Diceros bicornis minor: one gene and its partner. The protein of the gene in region 1 interacts with the protein of each later gene in a biochemical or structural test. Links are inferred from orthologs where the notes say so. Each region holds a gene or a part of one and is shown in the gene's direction. Other genes may lie near its edges.

What was found.
Region 2: the proteins of PLAU (region 1) and plasma serine protease inhibitor-like form a complex in vitro, tested with the Homo sapiens proteins (2 studies listed by BioGRID). The link is inferred for Diceros bicornis minor from reciprocal best matches to the Homo sapiens genes PLAU and SERPINA5.

The regions. Positions count from the first base shown.
Region 1 is NC_080745.1:32,780,972-32,791,752, reverse strand, and holds the start of PLAU (urokinase-type plasminogen activator), read left to right. Parts: upstream 1-6,377; 5' UTR 6,378-6,481; intron 6,482-6,810; 5' UTR 6,811-6,841; coding exon 6,842-6,898; intron 6,899-7,349; coding exon 7,350-7,383; intron 7,384-7,533; coding exon 7,534-7,641; intron 7,642-7,972; coding exon 7,973-8,147; intron 8,148-8,336; coding exon 8,337-8,428; intron 8,429-8,615; coding exon 8,616-8,835; intron 8,836-9,043; coding exon 9,044-9,192; intron 9,193-9,781; coding exon 9,782-9,922; intron 9,923-10,271; coding exon 10,272-10,420; intron 10,421-10,781. UniProt on the Homo sapiens protein: Specifically cleaves the zymogen plasminogen to form the active enzyme plasmin.
Region 2 is NC_080763.1:40,249,817-40,260,188, forward strand, and holds the start of plasma serine protease inhibitor-like, read left to right. Parts: upstream 1-6,226; coding exon 6,227-6,845; intron 6,846-8,537; coding exon 8,538-8,808; intron 8,809-9,197; coding exon 9,198-9,345; intron 9,346-10,010; coding exon 10,011-10,199; 3' UTR 10,200-10,372. UniProt on the Homo sapiens protein: Heparin-dependent serine protease inhibitor acting in body fluids and secretions. Inactivates serine proteases by binding irreversibly to their serine activation site. Involved in the regulation of intravascular and extravascular proteolytic activities.

The DNA.
Region 1 (10,781 bases):
ACAGGCTTTGGAGTCAGAAAGCTGAGTTTGATCTACCAGGTATTGGCTTGGCTGTGTGACTTTAACCTCTCAGAGCCTCCATTTCCTTATCCATAAAGTGGGGAAGATATTGCATCTCCCTCATTGAGGATTAAATGACATAATGCATACAGAATTGTTACCCAATGCCTGTGAAATAAAATGCATGCTCAGTAAATAGATGCTACTGTTATTTTACCACAGAAAAACCCCAGGGTATCTCCATTATATAAATACGGGTAAATAATGGTTGTGAAAAAGGAAGACTGGACATTGATGGTTCCAGGGATCCATAAAGATATATAAACACAGCCAGAAGACCCAAAGATCACTTCTCTGACCAGACTCAGCAGACACAACTGTGGCTGGCCATATTAAGCAAAAGGAAAAACATTTTTATCAAATGTTTTTTTGATAAACATTTGGCTTGAGCTGGGTAGGCAGGAACCAACACAGACATGACTTGGGCAGCTGGGGCTACGCTGGGGTGGCACCGTGGATTAGAAGTAGGAAGAGTTCCAGGTATAAGGACAAGCACCCCCACCTTCCTGACTGAATGTCATACTGCCTCAGAGATAGTTCTCCAAACCCTGGAATCAACCAGGTCTTGATATGGGTCCCAACTCTACCATTTACATATAGTGTTACCTTGGGTAAACTGCTTATACTCTGTGAGCCTCAGTTTTCTCATCCATAAAATAGTGATATTAATAGTACCGTCCTTGGGCCGGCCCCGTGGCTTAGTGGTTAAGTGCGTGTACTCAGCTGCTGGTGGGCCCGGGTTCGGATCCCGGGCACGCACCGACACACTGCTTTTCCGGCCATGCTAAGGCCGCGTCCCACATACTAGAAGGATGTGCAGCTATGACATACAACTATCTACTGGGGCTTAGGGGGAAAATAAATAAATAAATAAAATTATTTTTTAAAAAAATAGTACTGTCCCTAAAGGTTGTTGCTAAGATTGAAAAAGAAAATGAATGTAAAACAAATAAAGGTCGGCTGTTATTATCTATCTTTAACAAAGGGTAGATTATAATATCCCCTTGGAGAGAATAGACTTCCTCTTCTTTAGTTCCTGTCACACTTCCCATCATCACTGCTGGTAGAGCAAACAGGAGTCTCCTGGTTCCATTACCTTCTCACTCTGCATATGCACCATCTCAGGGGCTCCCTGCTATGTTCCTGCTCCTTCTTCCCACAGACTTCCACACATTTTGTCCTATAGTACCTTCCTTTTCTTTTTTTTAGTGAGGAAGATTGTCCCTGAGCTAACATCTGTGCCAATCTCCCTCTATTTTGTATGTGGAATGCCGCCTCATCATGGCTTGATGAGCGCTGTGTAGGTCCATGCCCAGGATCTGAGCCCACAAATCCCGGGCCGCCAAAGCAGAGCGCATGAACTTAACCACTATGCCATCAGGGTGGCCCCCTATAGTACCTTCTAATAGGAGACTGACTTCTCCCCAGGACTTGGCTGCCTCATTACACTGTTATCAATCACTGCTTGGAGAAAAGAGGCACCTTCTGCAAGTGGGTAGGAAGACACAGAAACTGAGGATGGGGGTTGAAGGTGGTCAGGAAGGGAGGAGTAAGGATTCAGAATAGGAGGGGACAGGGTGAAAATGTGTCATGAGGTTCCTCAAAAGTCGGTGAATTCTGAATCCCATCATTTTCAGTGAATGAATTCAGATGATTCACTTCCCTTCATTAGTCTTCTATTTCCTTCTCTGTGTAATGGAAAGGGAACTGCTGGCACTTGCTTTAAAGACAGAGAAGCATATAGAATCCAGCTTAGGAGGGCCATAAGCACATGAAATTATACATCATATGGGCTATGGATATTATCTTGGTTTTCTTCTGAACAATATTTTTGAGTATATCAGCTCCCGGCTGCATTTATTTCTCTAAACGTCATTGACTTTTTGGCAGTTTTCGGCAAACCCACCAGTTTCTGGTTTCCCATCCCAGCCCTCTGTTCCTCCGTATCCCACTTAGCTTCCAGTTAAGCAGCCATTGCCATCTAACATGGTAACCTGGGCTCTAAGCAGAAGTTCTAGGACCAGGGCCTAGCTTTGGTTCCTGGTGAGGGAGTCAGAATCCAGAAGGTCTGGAAAGCCATGACCAACACTCCTTGAAGGCAATAAGTTCTTGACTTAGGAAGTAACTGGGTTTAAGTTAGAGACAAAGAAAAAATTTGACCAAGGCTCAAAATATTCATGCAGAAGTCTGAGCTGACTGGCCTGGGTGGGGCTAGGAATTGGGCCAGAGATGGTGAAGCAGGAAAGGGCGAGGAAGGGTAGGGGGTCATAGGCTGAAGTTGGAGGGACCAACTTGGTCCCTCTGTTCATAGTGCTACTGACGACAAAGTATAACCTCAGGGTGCAGCCCCTGGGCTCTTTGCTTTCCATGAGTAAGGAAGCAAGAATGTGGCTTCCCCGCCCCACTCTTTCCACAGGCCACTGGGGGCCTAGAAGTTCCAGCACCTCCCCTATCATGTTACGGTCCCAAGACGTGGCTTTCAGTGCCTGCTGTGACGACAGCATCTTTGCCCTTAACACTAAACACGCAGGGAGAAGGAGTCTTCAGATCCAAGGAAGCTATGTGATCAGCAATTAGCATCTCCTTCCCAGAACTGCAGAGGAGTCCATCTGCCCCCGTGTAAGAAAGAGAGAAGAGCTTCAGGCCGCAGACAACAGAGAGGAGTGGGAGGAAGTGGGAGTTAGGGCTGTGGGGGCGAGCAGCACATGCAGCTGGCCAGTTGCTGGGAACTGCTAGCTAAGGACATAGCATCCCCACTTGGCTGGAATTCTGGGATGGATTCCAGAATGGCGTGGTCTTCTGGGCTGGTACAGCCATAGTCAGGAAGGCAAGGGAGGCACTCAGGGTAGGAATTATAGTTTCCAAAGTTCGTCCTATCTCTAGCGTCTAGATCTGTGCCTGGCACACAGTAGATCCGTGATAAATACTGGATGAATGAATAATGGGGTGAATGAATGCTTTCACACACAAGCATGATCTCATTCAGTCCTCAAAGTGAGGCACAGGCAGGGCAGGCATTGCCTCATTTTATGGTTGGAGAACTGAGACCAAGAGAGTTAAGTGTCTTGCCTAAGGTCATTCAACTTAGATGTGTCAGACCTGAGGCTAGACACTGTGCTCTTTCTATACCCAAGCTGAACCTTCTTGGTACAGCAATCCAGGAATACATCCTACGACTTGACGTGAACTTCCTTTGGGGTTCTGCTGGTCAGAAAATAGCCCTTCAGGAGCCCAGTTACCTGGACACAGTCTCAGGGCCAAGTTCGGACATCCTGGTCCCCTTGCACATCTGGCATCTGCCTGCCCCTTTATGAACAGCTTCAGGAAAGGGGGCCCCTCCATTAGTCTCTGCTGACTCAGGAGATCTGGACTCCTGAGACACAGAGGCAGGGAGCTGGTGGCTTTACTCTGGGAGTCAGGAAAGAATGAAATCATACACATTCAGTTCCTTATTCTTTTATCCTTGATAGAAACTTCAGATAGCCTAGACCACCAAGTTAGGTCCTGCAACTCAGATGAGCAAGTAACTCATATTACAGCAAGGCCCTCCCAGGAGCTCAGAGCCCATAGCCTGAGGAGTGTTTCTGGAAGTTCTCAAAAGCCAGTAAGATGGCTCTCCGAGCTGGAACATCTTACATCATCTGGCCCATCTCTTCACAGCATTCTGTCTTGTACCTCTCTCTTGTGGAGGCAGGGAGGCATAGAGCAATGGAATGAAAATCTGGGTGCTGGCTTTGCCGCTCGTCAACTGTGTATCTTCTGTCCACCTCATTGTCCTCATCTGCAAAATGGGAATAACAATTCTCAGCTACATCACAAAGAAGTTGTGAGTTTAAAGGAGAATAGTTTATATCAAAGTGCTTTTTAGCACAAGACAGAAACGATGCCGGTACTATTTTTTATGGCAAGGAAAAAAAGACAGAGAGAGGCGGGAAACTTCTGGGGTGCCCCAAAGCTCTCTGTTTCCACTTGTTCCTGATTCATTTATAATAAAGCACCTGCGTGAACAAGGCACACACCAAGTGCTGAGGGAGAGACAAAGGTATTTAAGATGTGGTCTATGCCCTCCAAGAACCGAAAGACTAGCACAGACTGTGCACCAAAGGACAGACACAGAGATTTCAGAGAGCGCCAAAGATCACAGAGTGAAAAGGAAGTTCTGTGAAGAGTTAGAGGCTCTAGGATTGTTCAACCAGGTGAAGAGGCAGCAGGGGGAAGGAGGGGGAAGAGGATGTCACGCTGCATAACGGTCTCCAAGCCTCTTTGACAGGGAGGAAATGAGGTCATCCTACTCTTGAGATTCAGCATGACAGCCTCCAGCCAAGTAATCTGGAGTCATGAGAGCTGCTGGGGAGCTGTGTGATTCACGAGACAGTTTGCTGGGAATTTCCTGATAACTAACCTAAGAGTTTCAGGGTAAGTCCTCAGGCTGCAACATCTCTGTTTACATTTTGATCATGTTTATTTACAATTAATGTATTCTAAATCTAAACAAAACATGTCCCGGTCTTCTAGAGGAAGTAGTGAGGCCAGCTCCGAGGCCTGTAGCTCCTCTGACTTAGTCCATCCCTGGGGAGGCTGGCAGCTCAGCCGGGCACAGAAAAGCTCTCTCTGGAGGACTATGGGTCACCTGCCTCGTGACAGCTGGAAAGTTAACTTGCACTTTCCCCAGGCAGAGACTGGCATCCTGAGACCTTGGGCTGGAGCAGAGCAAAGAGTCTTTCCTCCTTCCTACCTTCCTGGCACTCTCCCTGCCCTTGTCCTGCCCCATTCAAGTGGTCCCAGACCCAGTCCAGGTTTGCTAGGCAGCAAAATGCTGTAGGCCTAGGTGGGGAGAGGGACCAAGCCTTGGGCCTGGCCTTGAACCTCTAGAGAGTTATAGGGACTCAGCCCCCTCCTCTCCCATTAGGGGAGACAGCCCTGCTAGGTGGAATTGACCCCAAGCCCTGGTTCCAACACTAGGGGAAAGGGATGCGGGTGACCCAACCTTGGAGTCCCTGCTGTGCTCCTTCAACTGTGCCTGAGGGATATGTGCGTGTGCATGTGTGTGTGCATGTGCTTGTGTACACAAGTGTGTGCGCTCACCATCAGGCAGGAAGAACGGGTAGAGTCCTTTACACATGGTCTGTCTTTCTGGAGGCCCACCTTATTTGATAAGCAATTATTTAACCTTATTAGAAACAAGGCTGTATGATGAAGTAGAATACTAAATACATGTGCATTCAGAACTCTGTAATCATCTTTTTGGAATGGGTGATATAAGGATGTGTTTTCAAAAATTTAAATAGCGTAAAAGGGCATACAGTGAAAAACAAATCTTCTCATTTTTGTCCTCCAGTTCCCCAATTCCTCTCTTCAGAGGTGAAAACAGAACTTCCTACCCCTCCACAGTTTACTGTATACATTAATAAGGCTTTACTATTCCATTGTCTTTATCAACTAACTATACTCCAGCCCAAGCAAATAGATGGATTGTTCATTGTAGGAACTTCCTGAAAGACCCATCAACACTTCAACAGAAAGCATCAACAGTTTGTGCCCTAAGACCTCGTTCTCACAATCCTACAATATTATATCATGATCCTTATCCAATCCTTATCAGGCCCTCACTTTCAAAGACCACCCTTAAAACAAACTGCAAATTCTCCATGAAATCCGACCTTACCTCCCCTCTCTCGTTCCCCACTACCAAAATCCCTAAATTCAGTAAGCAATAAACTCAGCTTTGTCTTATCCGCTGGTTGTGTTGAAGATTTGAGGGGAGCCGGCACTCGACAGAAGCAGCCCCTGTTAGCAGGTTTTTTGTCTGTGTTTCAGCGAGTGCGTGTCACGTGCATTTTCACGTTGAGAAAGAGAACTCATAGCTATATGAGCTGCGGACCCTGCCCCTATATATCCAGGGGTCTGAATCAGTCTCCCAGGCAGTTGGCGGTCGAGTGTGAAAAGGCTGGAGAACAGCTGATTTAGGGGATCCTGGAGGAGGTATCAGAGCTGTACCGGGACAAAGTCCCGGCAGCGCCTCTCCTCTCTGCACCTCGGGGCCTGGCACTGGGGCGGGGCCCAGGCCAGATGAATGGGATGAGCTGGGATGAGCGGGCTGCGAATTTAGATGCCTCTAGATCCCACAATTCAGACCTCGCATGTCTCCTCCCCTGGGGACCACGCTGCCCCACACTCTCAGTCATGGCTGGGGAAGCACGCGGGGTCCAGGTCGCGGGGCGGGCTCCGGGAAGGGGAGGGAAGGGAGTGGAAAGGGCGATCCTGGGCTGGGGCGGGGCCAGGCTGGGGCGAGTCCTAATATAGAGTCCGCGCAGCTGGCTAGCAGCACAGCGCAGAGACTGGAGCCCCGGAGCCCGGCTAAGTGTCAGTGTCAACCTGTGCCCGCCATCCCGGCTCCGCAGCCCTCCTGCCACAGCCGCCGGTGAGTGCGCGCCGCCCTAGGAGCGCGGGGCGAATGCGCGGCGGCCCCGTCCGCTGGCTTCCCTTCCCCCTACCCCGGCTGCTCCGGCTCGGCTGCGGCCGCGGCTGAGTCACCGCTCCCCGTGTCCATGCGTCTCCCCCCGGATGCCGGTCCAGGCTGCGCCGGGACCCCTGAGGCCCGAGAAAGGAAAGACGGCCGGGCCTGGGGAGCCTGGTCACCGCGGGCTCGCCTCACAGGGGACCTAGGGGCTTCTGCCCTGAACTGCAGTAACCACCCGGGCCGCTTTCTCGCTCCTCCGCTTCTTCCCCTGACTTCTCCTTTCCTTGCAGAGCCGCTGTCTAGAGCCTCAGCCTCGCCACCATGAGAGTCCTGCTGGCTTGCCTGCTCCTCTGTGTCCTGGTCGTGAGCGACTCTGAAGTGAGTGGCTTCTCTGCTTTGACTTATGGCGGCGGGGTTTGCTGAACCCCTGAACAGCGCCAGGGGAAGGAAGGGGCTGCATAGGGAACTGGAGTCCTCCGAATTCCATGAACAGCAGGGCCAGACCCTCCCAGGAAAATAGGACAAGTGTGGCAATGGGGGCCTTGAGAACCAAGGGAGTTCTCACTTGCCGGCAAAGGAGGAAAAACCGCAGGGACTGCCCCAGCCTGCTGGCACCTGATATGTGAAGCTTGCTTGAGTCAATCCATTTCTCCCTGCTGGAAATCTATGATCTTCCATTTGAGGGCCAGTTAGATATGAACAGAGTGAGGAGAGAGGGAGCTGGTGGGAAGGGTGAGTTTTGGGATTGGGGCCAGTTTATCCACACCCTGGAATCCCAGGAGCGTGGGACCTTCAGTGAACTTTCCCCCTCCCCTCCCCTCTCTTCCAGGGCAGCCATAAACTTCATGGAGCGTCCAGTGCATGTGAGTATCCACCCCTTGCATAATATCTGGCTGCACAGACATCTTGAAAAAGACTCAGGGGGCAGCCCCTCCCTGACCCTGCTGCAGGGCTGGCTTCCCCCTTGCTTCTTCCCACACTCCTTGCTTACCCCCCACCTTTGTGCTCTGCAGCAAACTGTGGCTGTCTGAATGGAGGAACATGTGTGTCCTACAAGTTCTTCTCCAACATTCAGCGGTGCAACTGCCCAAAGAAATTCCAAGGGGAACACTGTGAAATAGGTATGGGGATCCTGATTCTAAGTGGGGAGGAGGGGGCACCAGAGATTTTGTGGCAGGGAGAGATGGGTGGGATGCAAGAGCAGGCAGGAGTTAAGAGCTGGAGGTGGAGTGGGGGACATCTTCATCCCTATGTGATGTACACAGTCAAACATAAACACACACTGTCTCATGAATCTGTGGCTGCACAAATGTGAGATGGAGATGGAAGGAGACACTTTTCTAGTGTCTTCTGCCAAGGTTTAAATCATGCGGTGTTTGGCAGGATCTCTAAAATGCCTGTCTGAACTTCCTCCTTATTCTAATATTTTCTCATCCTCACATTCTTCTGTAGATACATCAAAAACCTGTTATGAGGGGAATGGTCGCTCTTACCGAGGGAAGGCCAAAACTGACATCAGGGGCCGGCCCTGCCTGGAGTGGAACTCTCCCGCAGTCCTTATGAAAACATATCATGCCCACAGACCTGATGCCCTTCAGCTGGGCCTGGGGAAACACAATTACTGCAGGTGAGGTGGGGGCAGCAAGGACCCTCCCCATGGCCTCACAGAAACCCTTGTTACCATCCCCTTCTGCTTCCAGAGTGCTGGCCACAGCATGAGAAAAGCAAGGCCTCTAGTTGAGTCTTCCCTGCAGGGGAGGATGCAGGAAAGGCATTCTGGGTTGGTATGACACCCCCTTCCACTCTGTGTTGCTAGGAACCCAGACAACCAGAGAAGGCCCTGGTGCTATGTGCAGGTTGGCCTAAACCAGCTTGTCCAAGAGTGCATGGTGCAGGACTGCTCTTTTGGTGAGTGTCACTGACCTGTTTATGATGGTAGGGTGGAAGGGGACAAACTCGTACAGCCCCTCATTCCATCATAGGAGGGATGAGGAAGGAGCCTGCCAGGCCTTGAAAAACTGGGAGGTCAGAGGACAAGGAGAGGGGCACTTTATCCTACCTGCCTCCCCAAGACATCCCTCTTTTTCTCCTTCAGGAAAAAGTACCCCCTCTCCTCCGGAAAAAGCAGAATTTCAATGTGGTCAGAAGGCTCTGAGGCCCCGCTTTAAGATTGTTGGGGGAGAATTCACCACCATCGAGAACCAGCCCTGGTTTGCGGCCATCTATAAGAGGCACCGCGGAGGCTCTGTCACTTACTTGTGCGGCGGCAGCCTCATCAGTCCTTGCTGGGTGGTCAGCGCCACACACTGCTTCATGTACGTCCCCCCGTCTCTTCTCTCTGACCCTCCTGCCCTACCCCGAACACATCCCTTTCTCTTTCCCAGCGAAAGGTTCCACTTCAGTTCTCAGCCCCTCTCCGTGCAGCCCATGGCCTTGGGAACAAGTCATGCTCTGAGGTGGTGTGGAGGGGAAGTGACAGGATCTCATGAGATCAGACTGTCTGACAGGTCTTCCCTCCCACAGTAATCACCCAAAGAAAGAGGACTACACTGTCTACCTGGGTCGGTCAAGTCTTAACTCCGAGACGCCTGGGGAGATGAAGTTTGAGGTGGAAAAGCTCATCTTGCATGAGGGCTATAGTGCTGACACACTTGCTCACCACAATGATATCGGTGAGTGGAAAACCCTCAACTGCCATAATAAGGATGGTTAGGGGAAGTGGGGTCCAAGAAGAGACTCAGGTGGGAGGTTGAGGTTGTAGGGGAACTTGAAGACCCTGCTTTATACAACAAAGGGAGTGATGGAGAAGGATTCAGAGTGACACATATGAGGTGCCTGGTGCTCCTCTGTAGAGTTCCTGAATTTCCAAACAGATAACCTCCTCTGGGTGGCAGTGGCCCCTTGGGCATATGGCTTGGGCTGGAATGCCCCTTCCTTTGTTGAATGCAGCCTCTGTCTGTCCCAGGATATAGAAGTTGGAGAGAGCATTGGGCTGGATTTTAGCCCAGCTACCTCAGCCAGGGGTTTTTGCAGAAAAAAACCCATACAGTTGTATGTGTCAGCCCTGGGTGTCCCAGCCTTTGTAGGAGCTGGGACAAAGCCCTCGAGGCATGGGACAGGGGAGGCTTCTTTTGGGTGACAAGCTATCAGCAGATCTCCCAGGATGAGCCCTGACCCTAATTGACCTAGGGATAGAAAGCCACTCCCTCAGCATTTGGTGGGGAGAGATGGTGACCACCTGACCCCTTGCCCCTCCCCCAGCCTTGCTGAAGATCAGTTCCAGCTCGGGCCAGTGTGCACAGCCATCCCGGTCCATACAGACCATCTGCCTGCCCCCACCATATGGCGATGACCATTTTGGCACAAACTGTGAGATCACTGGCTTTGGAAAAGAGACTTCCAGTAAGTGATATTTGGGGCTGCCTGAGGGTCTTGGGGGAGTGTTGTAACCTAGAAGTGAGCTCAGCTTGATCAAGGGAGGACTGTGGAGATAGAGACGGGAGCATCGTGGAGGCAGCAGATGGGTCCAGGGATGCAGTGGGGAACATTGTTTAGAAAATGATGGATCATAAAGGTAAATAGATGGGGGGTGAGGGGCTATAGATGGGGTAAAGGCTCAGATTTGGGTGGAAAAAGAATAAGGGCTTTCTCTGGTAGGGACACTTTTTGGTCCCCTCCCTGGCAGAAAATCCCAGTGGGAGGGCTAGACAGATACATCTTTACATAAATTCCCCCTGTTTCTTCCATCTAGCTGGCTATCTCTATCCAGAACAGCTGAAAATGACTGTTGTGAAGCTGGTTTCCCACCAGGAGTGTCAGCAGCCCCACTACTACGGCTCTGAAGTCACCACCAAAATGCTGTGTGCTGCTGACCCTCATTGGGAAACAGATTCCTGCCAGGTGAGAGTTCCAAGCATCTCTCTCCATCATCTCCAAATCTCCCCGGGGCTCCTGGGCCTGTCCCTGTCAGCTTTGGGAGGTGTCTCTCCAGCCAAAGCCCCCAAAACCCAGAATCAGGAGCCCAGGTCTTAAAAGGCTTAAATCCTTATACGTTTATCAAACAGTTGTCATGAGCCTGGCTCTGTGCTAGGCACTTCAGACTAGGTGAGGGAGGGGGACTAAGAAAGAGAAAACAATAGAAAATAATACAACTCAGTACTCAGGGTGTGGTGTGAATTATAAATGATCAGTAGGAGAGAGGTGAGTGCCCACTGGATGGTCACACAAGGGAGGCTTTAAAGAGAATGTGATTCAATAGGAA
Region 2 (10,372 bases), on another chromosome or scaffold:
GCTGTGGTCAGTGAGAAATGCTGGCTCCGGTCCAGCCAGCCCTCTGCCCTTCACTGAGCCCGAGGGACCGTCAGCTCCACTGTGTGCACTCTCGGCCAGGGGACGGAGTAAGTACAGGCATTACAGACGGAGGGCCGGTGGGCTTGAGGGCGTGTGAGGAGGGGTGAGGAATGGACTCTGGAGTTATGGGATTTGGAGGGCTTAAAAGCTTTGGAGGCGTCCCAGAGTGAACAGAAAAAGCTCTCCACGTTGGTGGAGAATGAGCCAGGGCCTCTGAGGCAGCAGAGTCTCCTCTGGCTGTGTGACCTTGGGCACAACACTAAATCGAGTCGAGCCTCAGATCTTATAGGTAAGATGCAACTCATTACATACACGGTGTGACCTCTGCACGGTGTGACCGTGGAGATTAAATAAGGTGAGGGCTCTCACTCAGGCGTGACTCTATCCCGAGGGCACATCCGACAATGTCTGGAGACATTTTTAGTTGTCACGACCGGACGGGGGGCTGCTATTGGCATCCAGTGAGCAGAGACCAGGATGCTGCTAAGAGTCCTACACGGCACAGGACAGCCCCACGACAGAGAATGATCTGGTTCCAAATGCCAACAGTGCCGAGGTTGAGAAACCCTGAAATAAGGGAGTGGGGACGAAAAGTGAGACCCAGGAGATACTCAGTAAACCATAGCTTGATTGTTTTCTGTGCCTGGAACCTCAGACCTTTGGAAATCAGGGAAAATGATCAAATAGAATGTTTCCCTGAGACAAGGCAGCCCTGCCTGGAGGCTGCCACCCAGCCTCCAGTATCACGGCGGCCGCTGGGGCATCAGACACTGTTTGGACGTTTGTTAAATAAACAAAACATAGGCATAAAATGAGTGGAATTTTCAGTTTTTCTAAGGATGGGGCCCTTGGCAAGAAATATAACAATAAAAGAGAAACTGCTCCCCTGGGCCAACATCCTCATTCATTCACAGGTCAAGAAACCGCAGCATGAGGAATAAGGAGGGCGGGCGGACGGGGGGTAAGAAAGAGGGTGATGGCTGTGTTGATGGTGGGGATGGTTTCACGGGTGTGTATGTAGCTTGAAACTTATCAAGTTGTATGCATTAAATATGAGCGGCTCTTTGTATGTGAGTCATATCTCAATACAGTGGTTTTAAAAAAGAAAAAGAGAGAAAGAAGCTGAGCAGCAGTGGAGGAGTCATTCAAGGTCCACGGATGAGTTAGCCCCAGGGCCAAGAGAGCTCAGCTCTGGATGCTCAGCCCGGCTCATTCCCACCACGCCATGTCTGGCGTGTGCTCTGACACCTCTGAATCACAGAGGAGGAGACAGAGGTCCATTCATTCATACATTCGTTTATTCCACAAAGGTAGAATCAACTTCCTTGACTTGGAAGTCTCGCAGCCGGGAGCAGGCCAGATGAGGGTCCTCTCTGTTATGAGCGTGTATTCTAGTGGGAGGGAGGCCGGAACAAAAGAAGGCAACCACAAATGCAGAAGTAATTGCACTGCTGTAATTGACGGAGCCAGAGAGGAACGATCAAGGGAATGTTAGAGAGATAATGGTGGAGAGGAAGGGGCCAGGCGTGGACAGGGTATCCCCAAGAAGTGACATTTCAACAGAGGCTTGAAGCCAACGGAGAAGCTGGCCTTGGAGAGAAAGGCAGAGAGACGTTTCCAGCAGAAAGAGCAGAATGTGCAAGGGCCCAGGGCTGGGACAGGGCTGACTGTGTTGGAGGAATTGAAAAAAGGAGTGTGCTCAGAGGACACACCTGATTGAGGGCGGAGCAGGTCAGGATGAGGCTGGTGAGAGCCAGACAGAGCCAGACCACATGGAGCCTCGGTTATCGCACAAATCAGTTAGATTTTATCTCAAAGGAATGAGCGGAATCACGTTCTTAGGAAGGGGAGCACCATGACCATGTTTGTGTATCACAGAGATTCTTCCAGACGCTGGATGTAAAATGGTTCTCAGGGGCAGGAGGAGCAATGGGGTGGTCCAGGAGAAAGACAGAAGGGGCTTCCATCAGGATGGTGGCAGGGAAAATGGGGAGAGGCAGGCAGATTGAAGACATATTTTAGAGCTGGAAACCAACAAGTCCCGCCGATGGTCTGGAGATGGGAAGGGAGGTTAAGAAAGTTTCGTAGGTCACTGATCCCAGGAAGCTCTGCCCCCAACGTCTTTAGGATCTGGGGAAGTTGTGGTTTTTGTCTTTTCCTCTCTGCCTGGGCCCCTAGACTGACATCTCCTCTTGTAATGAGCAGAGAGTGGACAGACCCTCCTCAGCTGTGCGCCTCTCACAACTGAGTCCAAAGTCGACCCGCTGGGACTCTGTTGCTTAATGTTTAGAATAAACGTCAGCAGATTTTGGGTCTGTGGATGTTGAGGATCAGTGGGAGGGCTGCCCAGGGCCTGCCCACCTCCTGCCTCCTCAGGTCTCTTTGCCCTGGGGTGCCAGATGGGCTTGATAGATCTGCTCTCTTCCCTCTGACATGTGGGGGCATCTCTGCAGAAACACCCCAGGAGAGGGTCAGCCAGGCCAGGCTCTGCCACCACGCAGTGGGGCTGGTCTCCTAAGTGCCTGAAGCAGACTCACGCCGGCTCAAAGTTGGCACAAAACTCTGTCAAATCTGTGTGTGTCCACCAGAGGCCCAGGAGTGTGCTGGCAAAGCCTGAGCTTTGAAACTAGGAAACCTGAAATGAGCACCCCAAGGCCTCCACTTTCTCAGAAGTGACGTCTCTGACTCTCTGTTTCCTCTTCTGTACAGTTATGATAACGATACCAACTCCATGTTGCTGTGGAGGAGTGTAAACGAGCTAATACAGGTGACCAGCCTGGGAGAGACCCAGGGATATGTAGCAGGAGCTACAGGGGAGGAGGAACAAGGTCATTCCTCAGGGCCGTAAAAGGGACCAAAGAGGCAGCACTACATCAGTCCGAGGAATCTGGATTTTAATCCTGCTTCCATCACTCACTGGCTAGGACAAGCTATTCCGTTTTACTAAGCCTCAGTTTATTCAGCTGTAAAACGGACTGAACCTTGAGAGTTGCCTTCCTGGAGGCCTGCTTGCTTTCGGTAAAGCTGAAATGTAGTAATATTTATAGAATGTATAATAGGTCCTTAATAAATAGTAATGAGAGAGAGAGAGTGAGCCCAAATGGAGCAAGACTTCTTGGTCCCCAGCCTGCAGCCCAGGGGACCCTGAGTGAAGCTGCAGCTCTCTCCAAGGAGACCCTGCTATCCTGGAGACTCAGTGGCACTTGGAGAAGTGGCTCTGGCCTGTCAGATCTCTGGGGTTCAAGGGGGTGGGGACAGTGGCAGGGGGGAAGGTTACTGGACAGAACATGTGACAGACCTCCAGTTGTTTGTGAAGAAACAGAGGCCTGAGAGGGGAAGGGCCTGCCCCAAGGTCACCAGGAGGGCTGCATGGATGGGAGGCTGGGAGCCAGAACCCTCCCTCCTGCACCCCAGTCAGCTGCCTCTGGGCTCCGTCCACACAGGAAACTCCCTCTGCCTCTGTAGCTGTTCTTTGAAAGGGTTCCTTTTAAGGGAATTATCTGATGGTGCTAACACTTTGGGGGAGGGACCACAGTGTGCTGTAAAACAGACTAGTTGAAAGGACATAGAGAGTCCCCCACCCACCCACGTCCTTGAAAGACCTCCAGGAAGGCAACTCTCAAGGTGGGAACAAAAAGGGAGTTTTTGTTCAAAAAACAAAAAGCATGGGAAGCCAGACAGGGTTTCTTCATTATCTGCAGGTTAAGGGCTATGAGTGGCAGCTGCTGAGGCAGGGAATACAAGATTGGGAGGCCGAGACCCAGAAGAGCAAGACTAGGGATCTGGGGAAACTGATGGTACAGCGGTTTAGAGTGTGGGCATTGAGGGCAGAACCGGGTCTGAGCCCAAGCTTCGCCACTATTAGCATGTGACTCGACCTCTCTGAGCCTCAGATTACTCATCTGTGAAATGGAGCTAGTAATAGAACCTGCCTCCGTCGGGGGGCGTGAGGCTAAAGGAGTTGATATGTGTCAAGACAGCACAGCACCTCCCAGCGGGCGCCGGCGATGCGCCTGGGCCTCCCACGGGCACGGTGATTGCTGAGGCTGCTGTATTCAGTGCTGGGTAGCCAGAGGTTCTGCAGACAGAACATTCTAAAGGAGCCTCCTTTGTGAGCTCAGGTGCAGTTTGGAGGCCAGGGGCGGTGAGTGCGACCTGCTCGAGTCCCTCGATTTCGCTCACAGGCAGGATTGCAGCCCAGGTCCCCTGACTCCCAAGCTCATTGGCATGTCATGTCCCTCCCTCCCTCCCCCACCATGGGCCACTCTGCAAGCAATGTACAATGCAGCTGTTTGCAGCCCTTTGGAGTTTGGTTTTGCCTGGGTCACGTGACTCCGTGGCCGTGCTCACGCTGGGGCTGGGAGACCTGATGACATTGTGTCCATGGGGGAGAACGCTCAGCTGGAGGGGAAGATCTGAGCAAGAGCTTTCATCAGAACTCAGGCCATCGGCAGCCTTGGAGTTAGTTACCCGGCCAACACTGGGCTCCCATGAGAACGAGTGTGTGAAAGCACGTACCCCACTGTACGGCTGAGGAAATGGGGTGCTCAAATGGGGGGACAAGTGGGCCCTGGCCAGACACTGCCACACCGACAGCTCCTGCTTCCACAGCACCAGGTCTGCACCAGGCGCCGTTCCAAGCACTTTACCTACATTGACTCCTTAAAGTCTCCACTCCCCCCTCACCCCCAGTGCAGGCACTGTGTTACCTCCGTTGAACAGGTAGGGGACAGAGGACGGGGTGTAACTGACTTGCCCCAAATCACACTTGGAGTGAGTAGCAGGGCCGAGATTTGAACCCAGGCGGCTGGGCTGCAGTCTGGGCTAGTCACAGCGGGTGGAAGGAGGTCTTTGGGAGGCCTGGGTGCAGGAAAGGTTTCCGGTTGGAGAGGAGGGGTCTGGGTAGATGGACATGAGGGAGGAAGAGGAGGAGGGACTGAAGGTGGAGGACGAGGCCGGAATGATGGAAGACCCCACCTGAGAGATGTAGAGAGAAAGAAGGCGAGGGCTCTTGTCTGGGGGAGGGAAAGGAGAGATGTCTTAGCGCACTCGGGCCGCTGTGACAGAGCACCACTGTCCAGGGGCTCAAGCAACAGACATTTATCGCCTCTCCCTTCTGGAGGCTGGAAGTCTGAGATGAAGGTGTCAGCAGGGCTCGTTTCTTCTGAGACCTCCCTCCTTGGCTTGCAGATGGCCACCTTCTCCTCCCTGTGTCCTCACACGTCTTCCCTCTGTGTCTGCCTGTGCCCTGATCTCCTCTTCTTATAAGGACACCAGTCGTATTGGCTTAGGGCCCATCCATATGACCTCATTTTAGCCTAACTACCTCTTTAAAGACCCTATTTCCAGATATAGTCACATTCCAAGGTACTGGGGTTAGGGCTTCAACATTTGAATTGGGGACACAATTCAGCCCATCACAGAAGAGGAGAGAAGTGGAGGTGCACACGTTAAGAGGGCAGAATTTCCTCAGGAAGAGAAGGTGCCTCTGATGAGGGACAACGGTGGCCTTGCAGGGTCCTGGAGCCGTCCCTGGGAGAAGGAGAAGGGACCGTCTCTCAGGAGCCTAGCACCCTGCCTGCCTTGTAGCAGATGCTCAATATATATTTGCTGAGTGAACAAGGGCAAATCCAGCAGTGCTGGGGGTCCACAGCGGGTAGTTGGTCTGAGTTCTCAGAAAGCCCACCAGGCCTTGCCAAATGCTGCACTTGAGGACCAAAGCGAGGGTTAGAGCCACACGTGGAAGCAGGCTGCTAATCCAGTAACCACAGAGATGCTGACCAGGCAGAACATGGAGAACCTCCCAGCTCCATGTCCCATCCCCTGTCACGTGTACCTTGATGTGGGTGAGAGGGGAGGATTCTTGCCCTGGTGGCCAGTCCCTGCCTTGGATCTGCTCCCCTCTGCCTTCTCCTTCCTCTCCCCACCGTTAGATATCCATGTCCCCAAACCTCATCCTGCAGCCCCTTCTGCCCTCCTTAAGCCCTCACTCCCAGCTTCACTGGTCGTCTTTTCCCTCTGATGCTGCATTTTGAGCCGTGAAATCTCTCTGGAACATCGGTCTTACACGCTTCCTCCTGATCTTCTCTCTGGGCAGACACGCTGGCCCCACACCCTCTCTGAGCACATCTTCCCACTCTCCATTTCAGAACAAGGGGCCGCCACAATGCAGCTCAACCTCCTCTTGTGCCTGGTGCTCCTCAGCCCGCTGGTGGCCACCCTCCACCGCCACCGCTCCCGTGAGACAAAGAAGAGAGGCAAGGAGCTGCCACCTGTAGTTACCACGGTGGCCCCCCACACCGGAGACTTTGCCTTCGACCTCTACAGGGCCTTGGCTGCAGCTGCCCCCAACCAGAACATCTTCTTCTCTCCTCTGAGCATCTCCATGACGCTGGCCATGATCTCCCTTGGGGCTCGGTCCAACACAAAGGCACAGATCCTGCAGGGCCTGGGTCTCAACCTCCAGGGGGGCCCGGAGGAAGAGCTCCACAGTGCATTCCAGCAGTTGCTACAGGAGCTCAGCCGGCCCAAAGAAGGCCTCCAGCTGAGCCTTGGCAATGCCCTCTTCATCAACCCCACGGTGCACATCCAGGACACCTTCCTGAATGCCATGAGGACACTGTACCTGGCAGACACTATCCCCACGAACTTTGGGGACCCCGTAGGGGCCCAGAAGCAGATCAATGATTACGTGGCAAAGGAAACTAAAGGCAAGATTGCAGACTTGGTTAAGGACCTGGACAGCACTGAGATTATGGTTATGGTGAATTACATTTTCTTTAAAGGTAAGACCCTTGGGCTCGAGCCTGAACTTCCTCTCTCCTTCCAACTGCTTTTGTCAAAAGAATACCCAATTCTCGCACACATGGAGGAGGAGGAGTAAATTCAGTCCTTTCTGGTGCCTGTTGATAACAGTGAGGCCAACAATCAGCCGTGATAAGACGGCGCCTTCTCACTGGGTAAGGAGATGCTTATGACCCCAGGGTTGCTGTTTCCTCCACTGGGGAAGGGCTGAGTCCTGTCTTCGGGACCCTGGGGACACCTGAAGCCACAGCATCCACTCAGGTTCTGAAGCATGAGTTCCTCATGGCCAAGGTGCCAAAGAAACCAACACCACAGCTACTCAGGCCAGGACTGTCGGCCTTCGATGGGCTTTCAAGGGCATTTCTCAGCTGCTCCCCTGGGCCTCAGACCCTCTCCCCCATACCCTCCTAGGGGCTGTTTCCTAGGCCGAGAAATCCAGGGATGAGAGCCTGTTCCTCTGAATAGCCTCCTCTCCCCTCCTCAAGAACCCATCTCCATCTTTATCTCCCTGGGGTTTCATGTAAATATCTCTACTCATCTCCAGCTCCCAAGTCAACTTCTCCTTCTAGATGCTGAACCCCTCAGCGCCCTGTGTGGGGTCTGGCTGAGGATGGGAAGAAGAGGAAAGCAGAGTGGATGAAGAGAGGAGGAGAGGAGAGGGAAGGGGAGGGGAGGGGATGAACAGGGAGAGGGGGTGGGGAAAAGGGGATGAAAGGGGAAGGAGGCAGCGAGAGAGGAGAGAGGAGGTGATGGAAGGGGAGATGGGAGGGGGGCAAGGAAGGGGGAGGGGATGGAAGGGGATGAAAGGGGGAGGAGAGAGGGAGAAGGGAAGGGATGGAAGGGGAGGGAGAAGGAGGGGAGGGGAGAGGAGGGGAAGGTAGAGGAGGGGAGGGGGAGGGGGAGGGACAGGGGCAGGAGGGGGAGGGGGGAAGGAGAGAGAAAGAGGAAGGAAGGAGGAAAATAGTGAAATTGTTAGCCACCTCCCCCACTTCCTGGTCACAGATGGTGAATATCAAGCTTGGATTCTAAGATTTCCTGTCCCATAGCCCAGGGCTCTCTCCATTACACCAGGCTGCAGAGGACAGCTGTGAAATCAGCTAAGTGAGGTATTGGGAGGGGGTCCATATTTGATAGCTATTAAGAAGATGGAAACAATTACTTGTATCGCTTTGATCAAAAAGTCCCGTAGGAAGCAGACAGAGCAGGAAGTGTAACTGAAGACTTCCTAGCAAGAAAAATCATGTATTTCCAGGAACCTTACAAAGCTCTCCTCCAAACCTAGACCAAATCCAATGTTGGGAAAAGAGTGAAAAACAGAGTAAGTCACCCAGATACAGTGTAGCTTTGTCAGCCATCCGTATTTTTATCCTCTTTACTTGGATATTTGACCTCAAGTAACATCAGAGCCTCAAACAAACATTAGAGGTTAAGGGCCTCTAAAAACTTGAAAACCAGCCTTCTTGTTTTGCAAATGTGGATGGAAAAGCCCCGTAAACAGTTCCAGTGTGCCCCAAAGTTATAAGGGGCTTGCCTTCCTGGTCACAGTGTTCTCCAGTCACTGCCAGCAGCCAGACTGCTCCAAAGAGGATGATCTCTGCTTAATAGGTTTACTGTCTCCACACTTGTCATTTGCAGCTGAGAAGTTCTCATTTCTTTTCCATTTTAATCTTCAGCTAAGTGGGAGACAAGCTTTGACCACAAAAGCACCCAAGAGCAGGACTTCCATGTGACCTCGGAGATGGTGGTGCGGGTGCCCATGATGAGACACGAGGAGCAGTATTACTACCTCCTGGATCGAAACCTCTCCTGCAGGGTGGTGGGGATCCCCTACCAAGGGAATGCCACAGCCTTGTTCATTCTCCCCAGCGAGGGCAGGATGGGGCAGGTGGAGAACGGACTGAACAAGAAAATCCTGAGGAAGTGGCTCAAGATGTTCATAAAGAGGTATTCTTCAGACTACCCCGGGGCCAGCCTAACCCTACACACCCCCAGAGAGACACATGTCTCCCTAGGGCCACACAGCAGTGGTGGGAAGGACTCATCCAGCCCAGGAGCTGCCTCCAAGCCCAGAGGCATCATGTGAAGTCCCAGACCCCAGGCCTGGCCCTGCTGGACGGAGCAGGGCTGGAAGACATGACCAAGTTTCCTGGTGGTGCCATCAGAATGGGCAGTGACCTCTGGGGACAGCGTAGGTCCAAGTCCAGGGTAGGATGGGCTCCACTCTAGGCAAGGGGCTGGAGGATCATTATGAAGCCAAGGAGAGATAGAAGGAATATGAGCTCAGTGTGCCGATGCTCTAGAAGAGTCTAAGAAAGGCCCTCCTCTCTTTCCAGGCAGTTAGAGCTTTACCTTCCAAAGTTCTCCATTGAGGGCTCCTATCAGCTGGAAAAAGTTCTCCCCAAACTGGGGATCAGTGATGTCTTCACCTCCCATGCCAACCTAAGTGGCATTAGCAACCATTCCAACATCCAGGTGTCCGAGGTGAGCCCAGAAGCTTCTGCGCACCTGCTTTCAGAGATGGCTATTCTATTCTATTCTATTCTATTCTATTCTATTCTATTCTATTCTATTCTATTCTATTCTATTCTGTTCTGTTCTGTTCTGTTCTACTCTACTCTACTCTACTGTACTCTACTCTACTCTATTCTATTCTATTCTATTCTATTCCATTCCATTCCTCATTCCATATTCTCTTTCTCTTTCTTCTTTTCCCTCAAGAAGCAAAGGTTTCACTTCCTGTCTTATCCTTTGTGCAATGGGAAGCCATATCCAGCACTGTGTCTTGGGGGAAGGAGTCTGTCTTAAACAATCAGAACTAAGAATTGGGTCTTAGCTCCTTCACTCACTAGCTGTGTGACCTCCAACAATTATTTGACCTCTCTGAGCCTCCTTTCTCTCTCTAAAATTGGAGAGTCACACCCTTGCTGCGAGAAGTCATGAGGATTCAATAAAAGACACGTGTGCACTCCCCTCCAAGCACAGTGCCTGGGGCACAGTAACTGTTCACTTGTGCATTTCCTACCTGCTTCGTGGCTCAGTTGCATGGAGACTTTGATGGTGATGTTGCCGGCAGAAGCTTTGTCATTTCCTATGATGGCGTCTCCCAGCCCCTGGTGGCTCGGTGACACCTGGTGTCTCCCCTGCAGATGGTGCACAAAGCCGTGGTGGAGGTGGACGAGTCGGGAACCAAGGCAGCTGCAGCCACAGGGGCAATATTTACGTTCAGGTCGGCCCGAATGAGCCCTCTAAGGATAGTGTTCAACAAGCCCTTTCTGATGCTCATTGTGGAGAACATGGAGAACATCCTCTTCCTTGGCAAAGTGACCCACCCCTGAGGTGGAGATCTCTCCTGAAAGGCCACAGGCCTCCACAGTGGAAGATGAGGGTGCACTAAGGCCATCTATCTCCTGGGAGCTAGGGATTTATACACACCTTTAGTTGGCTAATGAGGCTTTCACAAATAATAATAATAACATTGATATACTGATGATGGTTTCTTTTCACACAA